2 linked regions of the Drosophila melanogaster genome follow. The gene in region 1 interacts genetically with each later gene. Each region holds a gene or a part of one and is shown in the gene's direction. Other genes may lie near its edges.

The links.
Region 2: of y (region 1) and Topors, changing one suppresses a phenotype caused by changing the other (phenotypic suppression), as found in Drosophila melanogaster (one study listed by BioGRID).

Annotation. Positions count from the first base shown.
Region 1 is NC_004354.4:353,882-363,094, forward strand, and holds y (yellow), read left to right. Parts: upstream 1-2,627; 5' UTR 2,628-2,798; coding exon 2,799-3,036; intron 3,037-5,735; coding exon 5,736-7,123; 3' UTR 7,124-7,364; downstream 7,365-9,213. UniProt on the Drosophila melanogaster protein: Controls the pigmentation pattern of the adult cuticle and larval mouth parts.
Region 2 is NT_033778.4:18,969,551-18,978,837, forward strand, and holds Topors (topoisomerase I-interacting protein), read left to right. Parts: upstream 1-3,061; 5' UTR 3,062-3,388; exon of another isoform or gene 3,389-3,447; 5' UTR 3,448-3,776; coding exon 3,777-4,172; intron 4,173-4,232; coding exon 4,233-4,693; intron 4,694-4,760; coding exon 4,761-6,175; intron 6,176-6,342; coding exon 6,343-7,187; 3' UTR 7,188-7,712; downstream 7,713-9,287. Other genes in the region: prod (proliferation disrupter), read right to left, coding at 285-517, 584-1,178, 1,246-1,458; CG15107 (uncharacterized protein), read right to left, coding at 2,041-2,225, 2,279-2,636, 2,695-2,883; CG18605 (uncharacterized protein), read left to right, coding at 8,278-8,390, 8,466-9,287. UniProt on the Drosophila melanogaster protein: Functions as a ubiquitin-protein E3 ligase. Negatively regulates the transcriptional repressor hairy/hry by promoting its ubiquitination and subsequent degradation. Also directs the nuclear organization of the gypsy chromatin insulator.

The DNA of each region.
Region 1 (9,213 bases):
CAAATTATGTCTGAGGTAATGATTCCGTTTCGTGCAAGATTACACAGAAATCAAATTACGACAACCTTTATTCAGTAAGCAAACAAAGCCTTTGTTGGCATCTAATTATTCCACTTATGGTTGCGATTTCGGGAGCTACAATCGGTTTTGGTTTAGTATATCTAGCGAGTTCCTTGGCGACATTTAAAATTTACAAATAAAGTTTCTCTATTCAATCGGGACAGTGGAAATTGACTATTTTATTTATATTAATGAACTTATTTTTAATTTGGCTTAAGTTACTAAGGGGTACTAATAGTTTGAGCGCAGTGCATGTCATGGGGACATGTGCAATTGTGTGTAAGCGGGAAGTGATCGCGGCCTTCCGAATTTGGCCATGCCAAATAATCCCAGCTCGAAAGGAGGGGACCCGGCGGTCAGGGCCATGGACATTGAACTTGAAAAAAAAAAAAACACAAAAATATATAACACAAAACGGAAAATGCTGTGTACCGCTTATGTTAGAGAAGTTGAGCAACGGGTTTTTCGTTTTGCAGTCACGATGGATTTCCAAATTAGTGTAGGAGGGGGGAGGGGAGGGAGGGAGATAATGTCCAGGCTGCCATAAGTGGGGAATAAGGAAAATAAAACATGAAACACGGGTCGGGCAATGTCATGCGGTATTCGGCTTTGCTTTCCGCCCAAGTTGAAGTGATCCTGTGTGTAAATAATGTCGAATGTTGCCGGTCGGTTGCATAAGCGTTAGTCAATTATGCCAAAGAGATCTGATTTGTGGAAGCTTTTTTTGACCACTTAGCGCGCTCCGCTTGATGTTGTTTTGTTTTGTGCTGGGGCAGAAAACTTGTTTCAATTATTGGGAAAAGTGCGTATAAATCATTGCCGCAAGCTCTGAAAAGCGAAAAAGAAAAACAGTAACCAAACAGACAAACGCAGCATCCCCCCACACAATTAAGCAAAAACTTGAAAACAAGTCAATTCGAAAAAAATTATAGGTTCAACGGCTGCAGCGATCGCATCATTAGTTGCGTTTTTAGTAAATACACCATTTCATTACACAACACACACAATTAATTAATAAAACTGTACTGGTTATTTCAAGTGTGTCTTTTAATAAGCCTGCCGATCGCAATAAATTCGAGCAGCATTGCCGGTAATTTTGTGCAACATATTTTTCGATTGCCACACCGTGTTTGTTTATTTTTCTGTGGGTGCAATGATTTAGAATGCGGGCAAGGGATCAAGTTGAACCACTTCTAAGAAAAAATAGCATTGCATAAATGATATAGAGTCCAAAAACTACACAAATTCAATAGCAGTAATGGTTACATTAGCTTTGAAATTGTTTTTAGACATCCGAAGAAATAAGATTAAATTTAAACGGCATTCTTTAATTTGTATTTTAATATTTTGAGAGGTTTTCCTTATTTAAAGTGTAGATTATTGAGGATTAATGCAAACCACTTTATCTGCGGAGGTCGTAAAACGTATTTTTACCCATTTGCATGTTTATTATGCGTGTGGCTGGTTGTATTACTTTACTTAAGTTTTGCAATTTTTTCTTTAGCAAGCAGGTGCATTTGGGCCAAGAGATATATGCGATCGCTTTCGGTTCGAATTTTTAACATTTACTTGCGGCGATGGTCATTAGAGCATTACCCACTTAGGGCACCCCCAACATCCAGTTGATTTTCAGGGACCACAATATTTTAAATAACAGCTAGTGGAATTACCTAAAAGCGCTTTCGTCCCTTTTGAAATTTTATGTAACACTCAATTATATTTATGTATATGTATGCTCAAAATCACCTGCCAATAACTAGCGGAAACCAAATATTTGACCCTCAGTGAATTGTGAATCATCGGTGACGCCCAATCGAAATCCAATCCTAAGCAATTGAAACGAGCACGAGTTCCAATTTAATAGTATACAAGGAAACACCTGCTTTAAATACTCTACATAGTACACGTTATAATAACGATTTATTTGATATTTCTGGATTTTTGTCTGCATGTATTTCATATAATATTGATTTGATTTTTTTAATGAATTGAACTAAAAAATCATATTAGAACATTTTTTGCAGTCGCCGATAAAGATGAACACTGTTCTCAGAACACAACTGTCATGTATTAAGCTTTCAGATTTTCAGAAATTTGGAGAGCAATGCATTCTATGCACGAGCCTCCTGGCCTTACAATTTACTTGTTTGAAATTAGATCGTCAAATAAAGTCCCTAAAATTAAATAAATAGTAGTCACAACTTTAAAATAGGTCTTAATCTTTTAGGGTACCGAAAGGTATTTCGGCACAAATCAGCGCAGTTTTAAATGTCGATGAAGGCCAAAAATCATACCAAACCCAGCGAAAGGTGATGTCTGACTCATTAAATTGGGGGATTCGAGTGTATTTATTAAACATGCGTGAAAATCAATCATGGAAGACAAAACGCAAAGTTGGCCGATCTATGGGAACAGCATAAGCCACCTGATTACCCGAACACTGAACCACCCGAATCACTAAAACCACCGAAGTTGGCGCGCGCCTTCGTTTTCATTTTCATTGGCCTGTCTTCGTCTTCGGAGAAAAAAAACTTCATATAAAACGCGGCCGACATATTATGGCCACCAGTCGTTACCGCGCCACGGTCCACAGAAGAGGATTAAAAAAATATCACACAGCCGAAGGCTAGAGAAGAACCCCCTATAGCTGAACATATATAAACAAATATATTTTTTTTTATTGCCAACACACTTTGGCTTAAGTGTTAAGAGTGATTGTCAGCTTAGAGCTAAGTGCACTGTTCCAGGACAAAGGGTGGATCCTTGTGACCCTGATCACCTTGGTGACGCCGTCTTGGGCTGCTTACAAACTTCAGGAGCGATATAGTTGGAGCCAGCTGGACTTTGCTTTCCCGAATACCCGACTAAAGGACCAAGCTCTGGCTAGTGGAGATTATATTCCGCAAAATGCTCTACCTGTTGGAGTCGAACACTTTGGCAATCGGTTATTCGTCACTGTTCCCCGCTGGCGTGATGGTAAGTGGAAGTTAAATATGAAGCCCTTGGGGAGATCGTAAATGGGACATTCTTACTTAGGGCATCAGAGATATCTGATTGAGTGGTTGACAGTTTTATATGGCTTGTTTGACATGATGTAAAAACACAAAATTCATTTAGTTTAGGTATTCAAATAAGAGCTTGTTATTTATTTTAGAATTTGGAGAACATTTTTTTGTCTTTCTACCCTTCTTAGAAAATAATATTGTTTTGTACAATTTAATTTTAAACTAGTACAGACGAAAAATGTATTTTTTTATTTGTATGCCTTTTCACCATTTTGGCAGAGGAATAAATATGACAATATATTTTGAGAGCACCCTCATGTAAAGGTTTTAGCGTGGCGACCTCTCATAAATCCGGTTGGTACCTGCGCGTTATTTTAACATTTTAAACAATTAACCGTTGTAAAATCGAAGCCAATAGCATGGCATTGGCTTTATACTGTATTAAATTGTATTATATTACCATCCGAATTGTAAAGACTTCTTCAGGGCCGCCACATAGAAATGGAAATCCAATCACAAACAATAACTTATGGCATTAGCTATTAACCGACGATTAGCTGTCAGTTCAACAAATGTAAGAGTGGCGAAATGTTTAAATGCGAAGGCATTGTTCTGTGACTCACGTTTTATTATTAATCACACAAATGATTTTGCTTCAAAATTATTTGGCTTACACAATAATCAAAATTTTTATGAAATAGTTGAAACACAAAACTAGGAAATTTTAAAAAGCAATGAAACTAAAAAACCCAATTGCTAAGATTATATGATGCGCATACAAATACTTCAGTACGTCTAGGAATGCTTTCGATGATTGATTAGTTTTTATGCATGGCTTACAATTGGTATTTACACAGAAAAACACGGCGATGTTAATAAATTTTGTACATATGTTCTTAAGCAGTCCGAAACACCCAAACTTCTGACTAAACTTAAAAAAACACGCTCTTCAAGGATATCTTAATGTCACTTATAATGTAATGGTATTGTATTATTAAGTATATCAAAATATTCTGGCCCAGCCTTGAGGTCTCTTTTTAAAAAGATATCGACTGACTACCTCCAGTCAATGAAATAATAGCCCAGAAGGCCGAATCGGCAAAAAATAAACCCCAAGTTACGGCAAACAAAACATAGTGAAAGTTGTGGCAAAGTGGAACATTTAAAGGCATGCTTCAATGGCCATCGAAGCAAATCAATTAGTCAAAGCAAATCGGTAGTGGCAACAACAGGCTACAGAATACCTATAAGTGACAGTTATGGGGTATGATTAATTATAAATATTATCATTGACCACCAATGCTGGGCTCAATTGGAAAAACTATTCTATGAAGATTTGAGTAAATAAATTTTGATTTAAAAAAGCCCATGGTTATCGCGACAACTAGCTACGGGACAAGATTACTGTTTAAAATCAAGTGTGAAATATCAAAATCAAAATCGGATTCCGATCGGGAAGTTGTATCCGATTCTGAAACTAAAACACAGAATTGCCAACATTTTCCGATATCGACTCAGCTCACGTATTTCATACAGATTCATTAGGCCACCAGCCATTGAATAATATACCCCAGTCAATTGAGCTACTCGATAGTTGATCAACTTAGCTTTTGTCAACGAGTGAACGCATAAACTACTACATCAACGATATTTGCGGCCCATTCCAAGCTAAAAGTTCATCTTAATTACAAATAAGATTAGAAAAAATATCTGAATGAAAAAAATGTTGAGACATATTTCTTTGGAAAAGGAGAACCTCAAGACAGTCGAAAAAATTGTTTACAATGAAAATGTTGAAAATCATGAAGCAGATAAATCTGTCAGTTGCGAGGTTTTAGGACTGAAAGAGCACATGTCAAAATATAAATTTGTTCAAATACTTTATATTTGACTGAATTAGATTGTTATTTTAAAAGTTATGAATTAAATAAAGATTGAAAGGTGCATTATGCTCAAATGTATATTTATCGCAACCCCCGGTTACTTTGTAAAGCAAAAACGCCTGGTTTGATTTTTAAGAAGATGGGTCGGTAAATCGATAAAAGCTATATTTTCTGGTCGTTGCAGTCTCACTCGCCTGCTATAAAAACATTAAAAGTTCCCAGAAACAATAAATGTCTTTAAATTCAATTAACGAAGAAATAAAGAAGGAAAAGAACTGGAGCGGAAATCGGTCGAAATACTGCCAATGGCCACATATACATTTAACAGCGATATATGGTATACATATTGATAATGATGTCAGACGCAATTGCTTCAGACGGCTAATGACATCGCAAATTGCACGCAACTTGCAATAGTGCCAATTATGACTGAAGTACATATAGCCGGGGATCTTTTAACATAAACTTCCAGTAGATGTACAAGCAGAAAAAAGAGCCATTAGCACGGCAGTTACCATTGCTTATGATTCCTTGTGTCCAAAATAATGACAAATAGGTATATAAATAATTAAATGCCAAACATAAGCGATTCTAATTTACCTTTACATCTGTATGCATTTACATATTATCCAGAAAACAGACAGCGATAACTTGCAACATTGCTTAGTATAATAATCCAAAGAAGGAATTTAGGCAGAAATTCCAGTTAATTAAATATTCAAAACAAACTTTATTTAGTGCCTCAATAATAGTTTGGCCCTGCTAATTCTCCTATTTTATTTTTTAGGGATTCCGGCCACTCTGACCTATATAAACATGGACCGCAGTTTGACGGGTTCACCGGAGCTAATTCCGTATCCAGATTGGCGCTCAAATACAGCTGGAGATTGCGCCAACAGTATTACCACTGCCTACCGCATTAAAGTGGATGAGTGTGGTCGGCTGTGGGTTTTGGACACTGGAACCGTGGGCATCGGCAATACCACCACTAATCCGTGCCCCTATGCGGTAAATGTCTTTGACTTGACCACGGATACGCGAATTCGGAGATACGAGCTACCTGGCGTGGACACAAATCCAAATACTTTCATAGCTAACATTGCCGTGGATATAGGCAAAAATTGCGATGATGCATATGCCTATTTTGCCGATGAATTGGGATACGGCTTGATTGCTTACTCCTGGGAACTGAACAAGTCCTGGAGATTCTCGGCACATTCGTATTTTTTCCCCGATCCATTGAGGGGCGATTTCAATGTCGCTGGTATTAACTTCCAATGGGGCGAGGAGGGTATATTTGGTATGTCCCTTTCGCCCATTCGATCGGATGGTTATCGTACCCTGTACTTTAGTCCGTTAGCAAGTCATCGACAATTTGCCGTATCCACGAGGATTTTGAGGGATGAAACCAGGACGGAAGATAGCTATCATGACTTTGTTGCCTTAGATGAACGGGGTCCAAACTCCCATACCACTTCACGTGTGATGAGCGATGATGGAATTGAGCTGTTCAATTTAATAGATCAAAATGCAGTGGGTTGCTGGCACTCATCAATGCCGTACTCACCGCAATTTCATGGCATTGTGGATCGCGATGACGTTGGCTTAGTTTTTCCGGCCGATGTGAAAATTGATGAGAACAAAAACGTTTGGGTTCTATCCGATAGGATGCCCGTTTTCTTGCTGTCTGACTTGGATTATTCAGATACTAATTTCCGAATTTACACGGCTCCCTTGGCCACTTTAATTGAGAATACTGTGTGTGATTTGAGGAATAACGCCTATGGGCCGCCAAATACCGTTTCAATACCAAAACAAGCCGTTTTGCCAATGGGTCCACCGTTATATACGAAACAATATCGTCCTGTCTTGCCACAGAAACCTCAGACCAGCTGGGCTTCCTCGCCGCCTCCTCCAAGTCGCACTTATTTGCCCGCCAATTCAGGCAATGTAGTCTCCAGTATTAGTGTCTCTACAAATTCTGTGGGTCCTGCAGGAGTGGAGGTGCCAAAGGCCTATATTTTCAACCAGCACAACGGCATAAATTACGAGACAAGTGGTCCCCATCTATTTCCCACCCATCAACCCGCCCAACCGGGTGGCCAGGATGGTGGGTTAAAAACTTATGTGAATGCCCGCCAATCTGGGTGGTGGCATCATCAGCATCAAGGTTAACATAATCCTACACACGGTACTTGGGTATATTCTCACACACTCGATTGATGTAAAGAATATTTAAAGACAACAACATAGGGCAACAGCGGTTAAAAAAACCACATGACGTATGAGCAAGTGGCAAATCAATACTTTATCTAGTTATGTTAAGCAAAAAATAACAATAAATCAACTTTTTTTTGAAGGTTAAGAGTTTACGCAATTTTCTTGAGCGGAAAAAGCGGAAAAAATGTAAGTATGCATAAATTCTAAATATATCAACAACTGTACATTTTCTGGAGTACTACTACCAGGCAAGAAAGTAGGTTGATAAAGCTATGCACAAGATCTGTCATATGGATGGGTTTCGCATCTTCTGGATCATAGGACTTGAGAACATACACAAACACAACTAAAATCAGAAAAGGTTGCCAGCAATCACTTTAGTTTTCTGCAAGCTAGATCCACCTGCTACTATCCCTACTTTCTTCTGTTGGGGTTGTCAGAGCTCTACCTACAGTTGATTAAACCACACATCAGTCATCGTGTTTTTTTTACAATTTTCCTAATTTCCTTACTTGTATTGCCTACTTTTTTGCGAGGGACTTCTATTGGCCAGTATATATTATGTGTTGCATACTCTTGGTCACAGCAAAAATAAAACAAAAAATACGCATGGTAAAAGAATGCTTCCTTTTTTACGCACAACGGTAGACGAAGCATATAATTTTTACATATCGGAAATGTTCTTGAAACAGAGCTTAGTAAATTTATACGCAATATTAGTTAGTGTATTTTAATTTTCGCCTTTTAGTTTCACCTTGTTGTGTAATCAGGGAAAGTGATAATGTATTTAATAATAATTAATAGTTTTAATGATACAAATCTATTGCGCAGAAATCCGATGGGTATTACAACATTATGATTCCTTCTACATTATAGATACATGCAAATTGTATATCTCGACTATAGCGTTCTCTCTTGTTTATGCTACAAATGTAAATGTACTAAAGAAAATATTTTATAAAGTATAAATTTAATATATTATGACATTTGATATATGTCATTTATAACGTGGAAAGAATATTTATTATACTTTCGAAAGTATCAAATTAGTAAGCACTTTTTTAAAAATCATAATTAACAATTAACAATTCCAATAAAAATTGTTTTTGGGTGCATATTAGTTTGAAGAATCAAACTTTAAAATATGAGTTTGAAATTGCAGCATACATACATACACATAAGGCAAAATTTAGAGCTTTTTTTTCGGTGCATCGGCAATTATTTATTTACACTACCAGGCGACTGTTGATATTCCCAGTCTCGGGCGGGGCATTTTGTCAAACTGTCGAAAAACAAACAGAGGAACAAAGAGCAGGCAGCATTTATATACTTTGTGATTACGGACGGACAGTCCCAAAAAGCATTCTGTGCGAAGCACTTAACGCCAAAAGTGAACAAAACAACACTTGCTCTATTAACACGCCACACTGTCTGAAGGCAGTCGGCTTAACGAGAAACAAGAATATCCTACGTGTGGCTAATTTGCGGTTAAGGAAGGCCCCATGATATATAAAGCCAAAAAATAAAGCAAAACCGCAGCAGTTCATTCAAATTTTTTGTGGCCAAAACAAATATTAAGATAAAAGTCAGTGGGGACTATAATTTGAGTTATTCAAATGCAATAAATCCGCGGAACCAAACGAGTTGCTAATTTTACGTTAGACGCCCTTTAATTTCACGCTGCCATTTGTGGCTTCCGTTTCGTATAAGTTTGGGTCGATGATTTTTAGAATTTGCATTTTCAATTTGAATATAAAAAACCGCCGCTGCAGGTTTGCAGCTTTTAAAGTGATCCGCAATCTCATTCCTAGTCAGTCGAAAAAAGGTAAGATAGAGAAAAGAACAGAAATGACTACAAAATTAAGTACCGAATTTTGTGCCATCGTAATAGTTTTTCGCCATTTCCCTTTCACGGGTTTAACTGTTAATTATGTAATTAAATGTAAAGTCGTGGAACTCGGCGTTTTTTCTTGATCAATATACACATATTTCCGGCGCAAATGCTATTTTTATGAGCATTTCATGTAATTATTGAGACTAATAGG
Region 2 (9,287 bases), on another chromosome or scaffold:
AACTGTTTACACAATAGAATTCTATGTCAATTTTAAACTAGTCAATTTAAATCTGGCTACTATAAGTTACAGTTTTGTGTGTGTTCCGGCGGAGCGCAGGACTTGGAGAGCTAGAAAACGTTCGAGTGCCAAAGAGCACATTCGTAAAAGACCTATACAATTCGAGCTGACTTGACTCGTTCCATTGCTTTTGCTAATGCTGATCCTTTCGCCGTGGCTTCTGCTGGTGCTGGAGTTTTTGCCGACTGCTTAGACCCACTGATCTCGCCCTGCCGCTTGGGACACTATAAGGACGGCGGATCGTACTGGAAGCCCGGGTTGTTGAACTTGAAGCGCGCAATCTCAAATTGCAGTGTCTCGAATTTGATGTCGGCCAGTCGCTTCAGCTGGTGCGCGATCTGCTGGGCATCGCTGCTGCTCAGCGCGCTTGTCAGCGAACTGGGTTCCCGCTCCAGCTTTGTACTGTGCAGCGGCGGCACGGCCTGCATGTTTGAAATGCAACGCGGCGCATTTTTAACTGAAAGATATGGAAAAACGTGATGTTAACTGCTTAAACTTAAGCAAAGTAAAACGGCATAGTTACCTTCGTAGATAATTTGCTCCCTGGGCTGTGTGCGCATCCGCTTGACGGGCAGCTCGCCGTTGATCAGCTTATTGCCGGAGGAGGCTGTGCCCGGATTGATGACGGGGGCAGCAGGCCTGCGGGATGTGACGTACTCGACGGCGTGCGGCTGCACCGTTTGGGGATCCTCCTCGACATGCTCGAAGGATGTGTTGTCCACGACGATGGTGCGATAGGTGCCGCCACCCGTATTGACCGCCGTTGTGGACGCGGTGATGCCGGTCTCCGCCAGATTCTCCTCCATCATGTCCTCGTGATCGACATGCTCCTCCACCATCTCCTCCTCGTCCACCTCATCGTTGATTGCCTCTTCAACGGCTGCCTGAAGTTCCTTTTGAAATGCCACCGAAGTACGCTGGCCCAGTTCCTCCATCTCGTCGTCGTGCTCATCCTTTTCGGACTTCAGATTGAGCATCGTTTCGCCGCCGGTGGTGGGCACCTTGCCAAAGAGATCGAGAGCGCGCGTCTCCACGGAGGTCATCGAGATGTCCTTTTCCGTGGACAGAAGGCTGCGTCTGTACTTGCAGCGAGTGGTGTTCTTCCAATCGTTTAGGCGCTGTATGTGGAGCAGGAAATTCGCGATTAGAGGTAACATTATTTGGGTGATGTAGTGGTACTCGTACCTTGCGCCACTCCTCCGGCGTCAGTGTGGGTCCGGAGCTGCACTTGTTTAGCCGGTCGGAGAGCTCCTTCCACTTTTTGGTCAAGTAGTTCAGGTCATAGTCGCGCGGCACTCGTCCGGTGGCGAAAATGGGGTCGCTCTCCATCATGTCGATGTACATTTGGTACTGCTCCGATGAGGTGCGTTTCTTGCGGCGGTCCATCTTGCCGTTCATCCGGGTATCCTTGCTCTGTGCCTGCGTGCTCGATGCCGTGTTTAAATAGCTGGCAAAAGCCCTAAAATGCAAATCGACGCCACCAAGCGATGCGAGATGTTCACAAACAATTTACGCATTTAGCGTTTGGGATTTTCTAGTTGCATTTTGTTGCTGTTGGCGCAGGGTTGCATTCGGCACGCCAGTGGTGCGCATCTGGCGGGAAGCCAAAAAAGCAATTAGATGCCATGCGATAGTTATGGCTAGATGTGCAATAAATAATTCAATTTTGTTGCAATAAAAACATGCGGATTCAGAAATGATTTGTCACAATATTTATTAGCGGTTTCATATAAATCAATAATACATTTCAAAATATATGTGCAAAAAGTATTTCGTCGAACGATATGCATAACAACAGTCTTAAAAACGACTAATTGGTATATGGTACACACTACTCAAGAATTTGTTTTCAACGAATGCCTACTGTACTACTTATTGAGCGTTCCGCGGCTTTTAATTCGAGGCGAAATCAGCAGGTCCCTCTGAGCTCACATATTATATTACATTATACATTATATCAATGTGCATGGCTAGCATGGGCTATAATTCCGGAACGTACTCGAATCCGGGATTATTGTACTTGAAGCGGGCTATCTTAAAGTGCAGCGATGCCTCGTGTATGTCCGAAATGCGTTTCAGCTGCTCCTGGATTTTCTCTCCATAGAAGGCAGACGGTTCTTTCGCGGCAGATTGATCAGATGTGACATCCGCGACTGAAATCAAGGCTATGTCCCTTTATAGGATATTTAGTATTTACATTAGATTTGCGTCTACCCACCTTCGTAGATAATCTCACTGGAACCATCGAGCCTTAGCTTTTTCGCGGCACTGTGACCATTGATGATCGTTGGGTTGGCTTGCTCGTGAGGCTCTGCTATGAACTGCTGGTACTGCACCTCCTCCTCCTCCTCCTCATCCACCAACTCCTCCAGGTTCTCATTCTCTTCTTCATCCAGTTCCTCTTGCTCCTCCATCAGTTCGTGCAGGCGCATCGAAATTCCCTCGCGAAAATTCGGTTCTAAGGAGAAGATCTGCAGGGCTCTGTTCTCCAGAGGAGTCATTGCATTGCTCTTGTCATCCGAGTTGATGCTGCGTCGGTATTTGGAGCGCGTGCTGTTCTTCCAGTCGTTGAGGCGCTATAAGCATGACACACTGTGGGCTTGTACACTCGATACCCAACTGGTTACAACATACCTTTCGCCATTCCTCGGGCGACAAAGTGGGACCCGTGGAGCACTTGTTTAGCAGATCGCTGAGCTCCTTCCACTTCTTGCCGTCCTGGGTGCGACTCAGTTTGTTGGCCGACATCGGGGGATTCTCCTCCATGAAGTCTAGGTATACTTCGTATTGGTAGTACGACGTCCGCTTGTTGCGTCGATTCATTTTGGGGATCCAAATTATGACCAACAATTGAAAACAAACAAATTGAAACAGACGCCACAAAAAGGCAATAAAGCAACGAGCTATCGATAACACAAACAATTAAGGCTCCGAAATTAAATACCAAAACCGAAATACCAAACTATTTTAGAAAATATCAAAATAATTGTTTGGTTCTCCTAGGTTCGAAAAGAAGTTTCTTGGAATTTGTAATTTACCCGCGCCACAATCTCACAAGATTGTGTAATACATCTAAAAATATTTATTTTTCTCAAAATATCACATTTCAATTTATAAAATAAATTGGTCTAGTTCTTTAAGCATTTTTTGTGTATTTCGTAATTTTTGTAACAAAGCTAGTCCTGCTTTTTCAATCAAGTTCAATCAGAGGGTAGAACAGCTAGTAGAACCGCTGACTCAACATATTTTCCAAACCTTTTTTATTTAAAATTTGTATTCTGAAGTAATTCAAAAGTATATCAATCTCCGTGGTCTGCAGCATTTAACTGTACGCGACGAACGGTATCACCGTAGTGGTCAAAAAAATCAAGTTTCCTGCATTTTCAGGTGTAAAATTAACTGAGATATAGTGCGATTTCTGGCCCGAAAATTGTGCTATTTTACAGAACAGGCCACTGACCACCACATAGACCGCAAGAGAATACGGATAATGCGTCCCCTAGCCCGGAAAAGGCCGCTGGAAAACGAGGATTGAGAACCGAATTGCGAACCAGATGATAGAGTAGCGTGCCAGCCAGCGAGTGCGAGCGAGAGAGGGCGAGAGGAGCAGAGTGAGAGAGAGAGGAGGACAGAGTAGACACAAAACTTCAGGCCCGAGTTCTCGCCCATCTTACGGCCGATTTTACAGCCCATATAGCCGCTATATAGTCGCCAGAATGGCGGAGGAGAATCCCGGAGCTCTTGCCGCCAACGTGCCCTATTTGGGAGTGGATGAGTTGGGCGCATCGGTGATTGTGGAGCCTGGTTTGGAAGGATCCAATGCCGGAGGCCGGACGCTACCGGCTGCGGCCATTAAGTTTGCTGATCTCACCGAGAGCGGCAGTGAGTCGGGAGACAACGAGGCCGAGGAACCTGTATCCGCTGGCCCGGATAATGCCAACGCCATCGGTGAGCCGGGCACCAGTGCATCCGCCGCGGAGGAGAACGGAACAGTAGAGCGCAACTCGCCGCCGCCCAATTGCGCCATCTGCTTGTCCCGCTGCAGGAGGAAGTGCTTCACGGACTCGTGCATGCACCAGTTCTGCTTCAAGTGCCTGTGCGAGTGGAGCAAGGTAACCAGTCCGCAGGCGAGTAAACCATTATTTTAACCATCTAATTATTCTCGATTGCAGATAAAGCCCGAGTGTCCACTGTGTAAGCAGCCCTTCAGAACCATCATACACAATGTCCGCACCCTGGACGACTACGATCGCTACCCGGTGCAGACTACGTCGCCGGTTCCAACAGAAAATCCCTCCCTACGTTACCACATTGTGAGGCGTCCCAGGTACACGCCGCTGGTGCAGAACCAGGCCGTCATTGTCAACGACATCGAGGCGGCCATAGCGGCAGGAGCTGCTGGTGAAGATGTGCTTTCGGCGGCAGAAGTAGCAGCTGGCAGGCGATCGTACAGCCGCTTTGAGCCGTATCGCTCGGAGCTGATGAATTACTACCAGCACGATCAGGATGCATCCACGTCGGGTTCATTGAGCCAGCTCTGGCGACGTTATGTGTACGATAGAAAGCTGTATGCTCTGCCCGTCAGCGACAGCGTGACTGGACACTTTCGAGAGTGGAGCGCCCGTTTTTACAGGTCTGTTCGTATACCTAAAACCGCATACTTAACCATACTGATTTCGATTTCAAATCCTTGCTTATAGAAACAATCCTGCTCAGATTCATCGCCTGATGCCTTGGATCCATCGCGACATCATGTGCCTACTGAGGAATGCCGCACATAGCGTAAATACTGTGATGACTCTGATGAGCGACCTCCTGCCCATGACTAGCTTACTAGGTCCTACATTCCGTCGACGGCTGTCGCCGTATCTCGGCGAGCGCACCAGTCACTTTATCCACGAACTGTTTAACTTTGCCCGCTCCCCGTATGACATAAACGGTTACGATCATGTGGTGCAGTATTCGGCACGAGTGGCTGAGGAGGTGGAGGTGGATCTGTTGGACATGGTGGAGACACAATCCTCGAACGGTGATGATCTGAATTTGGAGGTCGGAGATAGCGATGCGGATGCTATAAACGCTGGCTTCTCTCCGGATTGGAGCCCCCCTAGGGTACGCCCGTCGACCAGTGTGATTGTGACCAATCCTGGTGCCACACATTCCTTCAGCGTGACAATGGCCAGTGATGGCAGTGAGCTGCCGGGGATTTCCATACGCCGTACAACCAATGTGGGCTCACAAACGGTTGCCATTAACCTGAGCATGAGGCGCCCAGCGGCGGTTGCCAGCGAGGAACCAGAGGTCATCGAGATCGACGACGGCGATGCGGCCGCAAATGCAGAGGTGGCGGCCATCAATGATGGCAGCAACACCAGTAGGAGACACGCAGGTGCTACTCTTCCAGTGACGGCGCACATCGAACTGGAGAGCAGCAGCAGTTCCGGCGATGAGGATGAGTGCGTCTTTGTGCTGGAGCTGAAGCCACCACACATGCGCACTCCCGAACAGGTGAGCCTTGACTCAAATAGTGACTCCGATGTGGTGTTCGTAAATGAGCAGCACGAAGCTGCGCCGGACGCAATTGCCGAAAACCGGTCGACACAATCCCCTTTGGATCTGGCCTCCAGGGATCAGGGCCTGTTTATGGGGCCCAGCACAAGTGGCGCAGCGGCCAACAGAGGCAAGAACTGGAAGCTGGTCATGGCGCAGACACGGCGCCTCGATCAGTTGCGCACGCTGCGCTCTATACGTTCGAAGAAATCACGCCGTTCATCCATGCCTGCCCGCAGTGACAGTGGCAGCAGCCCCAGCAGCTGCAGCAGCTCCTCCTTTCACTTCAGCAGCAGCAGCGATGAGGATAGCAGTGACAGTAGTACCACCAACTCCGAGCCACCCAAGAAAAAGTCACGCAAGCGAGTGGCGAATAATAAGCGCTCTAAAAAGGAGTCAATCGGGAAAAGGACATCTCGTAAACGGAAGGCCAAAGACCAGAATATGGAAATGCTTGAGCAGCAGCAGATAAGCCAAAAGAAGCCCCAGCGCCAACCGGAAAGCAGCAGTGACAGTCCAAGTTCGTCCGATGACGAGTCAGGTGGCGATAGCAGCGAGTCATCCGGTAAGTGGTTTGTGAATCTAGACGGTTCTTATCAGCATGTATGAATGTATGTATAACACCACACATTCTGAACAGGAAAACACTAGAATGATCTCTAAAAACAATCAAAAAACTATTTATTATCCTATCAGATCAAACTTGTATAATTACACAAATTTGTTTTCTAGGTCAACCCAACACGAACAACAACAAATCCAGCAGCGATTCCGATGATGATAGCGCTGTAAACATGCAGCTCAGTGCCTTGCGCGCCACACTAAAAGCGGAGGCAACTCTGGAGGATAGGAAACCTGTAAAACTGGAGCTTCAGTTGCCGGATGACGACCAGGCGGGGCCCCTCCACTCACGGATGACTCCATCGCCGAGAGAGGATAACGAACCGGGTTGCAGTGCACCGAAACGGCGACGCAGTTGCAGCCACAGCAATCAGTCCAGCCAGAGTGCCAGTTTGGCCAGCAGTTCGACAGCCACCTCGAGCTCGGCTCCATTAAGTTCGTTTGCCTGGGGAGCAGCGGGCTTTTCCGGCGATCCGCTGATGCGCGGACATCCGGCGATGGAAGAGCACGACATAGCCAACTCCCTAATCGAACTGTCCACTCTAACGCAGCCTGTGAACATCGGACTCTTCAACGAGCATTATAATTCGGCAGAGAATTCCATGGGCATGCTGAGCAACACGTTGTGCGACAGCCCACAAACTTTGGCGGCGGATGACGCCAATCTAGAGAACTATTTCGATACAGATGCGGATCCGGAGGCCAGCCGTGAACGGGATGCCTATTCGCTGGAGGCCGCAATCGATGTAGTTGGCGAATCAGAGTTGCAAATCGCCGAGGATACAGCCACTGCCACCGAAGAACAAGATGAGGAGGACGAAGAGGATGAAGATCAAGAGGAAGACGACCAGGAAGAGGAAAAAGCTGCGGAGGAAGAAGAGGAAGAGGAGGAGGACGACGATGATAGCGACAACCACGATGAAAACGATGAGAATCAGGGACTACTGCCGTATTAAGCATAAGCCACTGATTTAGATTTTCATTTAAGTTGCTAGTGTAAGGGAATGTTTAACTGGTTTCCGTCTTGTCTTGTTCCGATTCCTGAAATCCCCAAACCCCATAAAATAATATTTGTAATTGTAACTCATGTATTGTAGGCCTAAGATTGCCATTTTAAGTTGTACATACATATATAAACACCCATCCCAACATTATTTAAATGTTCTGTCATACATACATATACCACCCCCCCCCTTCCACATCAAAAGACGCATTCAATATCCCCCTGAAGAACATCGATTGTAAATGTATTCACGTAGGTTAGCGGCATCTATAACTAACTAACTATAAACAATGGCAACTAACTTTACTATCGTAGCTTTTAAATCGTAGAATTAGCGCTGATCAATGTATGAGGAGGGTGTTAATGTTTTTTGCATAAGTGGGCGTGGCCAGTTATGAATTTTAGTGTACTCAACATACAATGAACAAAAGATATCTGTAATACGAATCAAATACATAATAAATGTAAAGATTAAATTAAAGATAAATAAGTGTCATTTCATATTTCGTAAAGTTCTAAAAGTAATTCTCATTGGATCAAGGATGCCCCCCGGCATAGGCACCTTGCGCATTTTTTTTTTTGTTAAATTTATGCATATTTTGTTTCAATTCAATGTTTCCAGTGATTTCAGAGTATATTCGATTTCCGATGTCCCGATTTGTCACGATTTGCAGGTTAATTTATGGCATTGTCTAAACAGTCCCTTACTTTCCACACTTGACATTAGGCATCGTGTAGATGCGCCCCAAATAAAAACGTGCCACAGAGCCGTTGTGCCTGCGCAATAAGCAAAACTTTTTCGCTGAGTTTCAATTGGAATTGTTTAAAGAACGAGCTAATTGTTTAATTCCTATAAGGTAAATACTGTATCATATTGCACAGCTGGAAAAGTTCCATTTCGCGAGCGACAGTGAGCAGTGAAATCAGTATTAAATCGAATTTGTGATTGACAATTCCAGGAATTTTCGTTCACGTGTAAAGTTTCTGTTTCTGTTTTTTCTTCGAACAATTTCGACATTGTCGACACGTGGAGTGCAGCAACAATGATGCCACGGCACATGGTCCAATGGCGCATATATGTCTACGCCAATTCGCTATATTCTCTGCCGGATCGTGAAACGGGCGACTTTCGCGGCTGGTCCCCCGAATATTTCCGGTGAGTGAAAATTTCCTCCTCCAATACAAATAAGGGAAATTTCAGCCATGTTCTCATTTCTGCATTTCCTTGTAGTCTCAATCCCTTCGAGGTTCATAGGGTAATGATGTGGGTGAACCGCGATGTATCGGTGCTGATCAGGACCAGGAAGGCGGATATTTTCTATCTGTACGAGACCATCAAGAATCTGCTTCCACGTCTTAAGCTGGACAGCGAGGAGTTCCGAAAGCCCATGATCCACTTTTTTGGCGCCAATACGGACCTTTTCATCCACGAACTGATCAACTTTGCCCGTTCCCCGTACGACACTCTAATGGCCTATGAGTGCAGCACACAGTACCGGGCCTTGTTGGATTTTGATAATGGTCCTACTACGTCGGCGAAGTCCAGGGATCGCGAGTTTTTGTCGACGAGACTGCACAGCTTTGTAGAATTTACGCGCCGCATCAACTACGACGATTGCGGTGGCTTTGAGGCGGATCTGGAGCTGGAGGATGAGGATTTCGGCGAGCTCGACGATATGATGATGGAGCGCTATGGTGGTGCTCCGTTCTTGATGAAGATGGACGGACAGCTGGTGACAGCCCGAATCATACCGAGCTCACAAGCTAATGCACCTAACCAGGGTCAGGTGAATCAACAAACTCAATCCCAGGCCCAGGCTCAGGCCCAGGCACAGGCTCAGGTCCAGGCACAGGCTCAGGCCCAGGCCCAGACTCAGGCTCAGACTCAGGCCCAGGCTCTGGCTCAGGCCCAGGCTCAGGCCCAGGTCCAGGCACAGCCACAGGCTCAGGTCCAGCAGGCAGCAGCTCAGCCTGCCCAGCTGCTCCTCCCTCAGCTAACGCAGGCGGTGATCCAGACTCAGCAACGAGCGGTTCACCAACCCCAGCAGTCGGG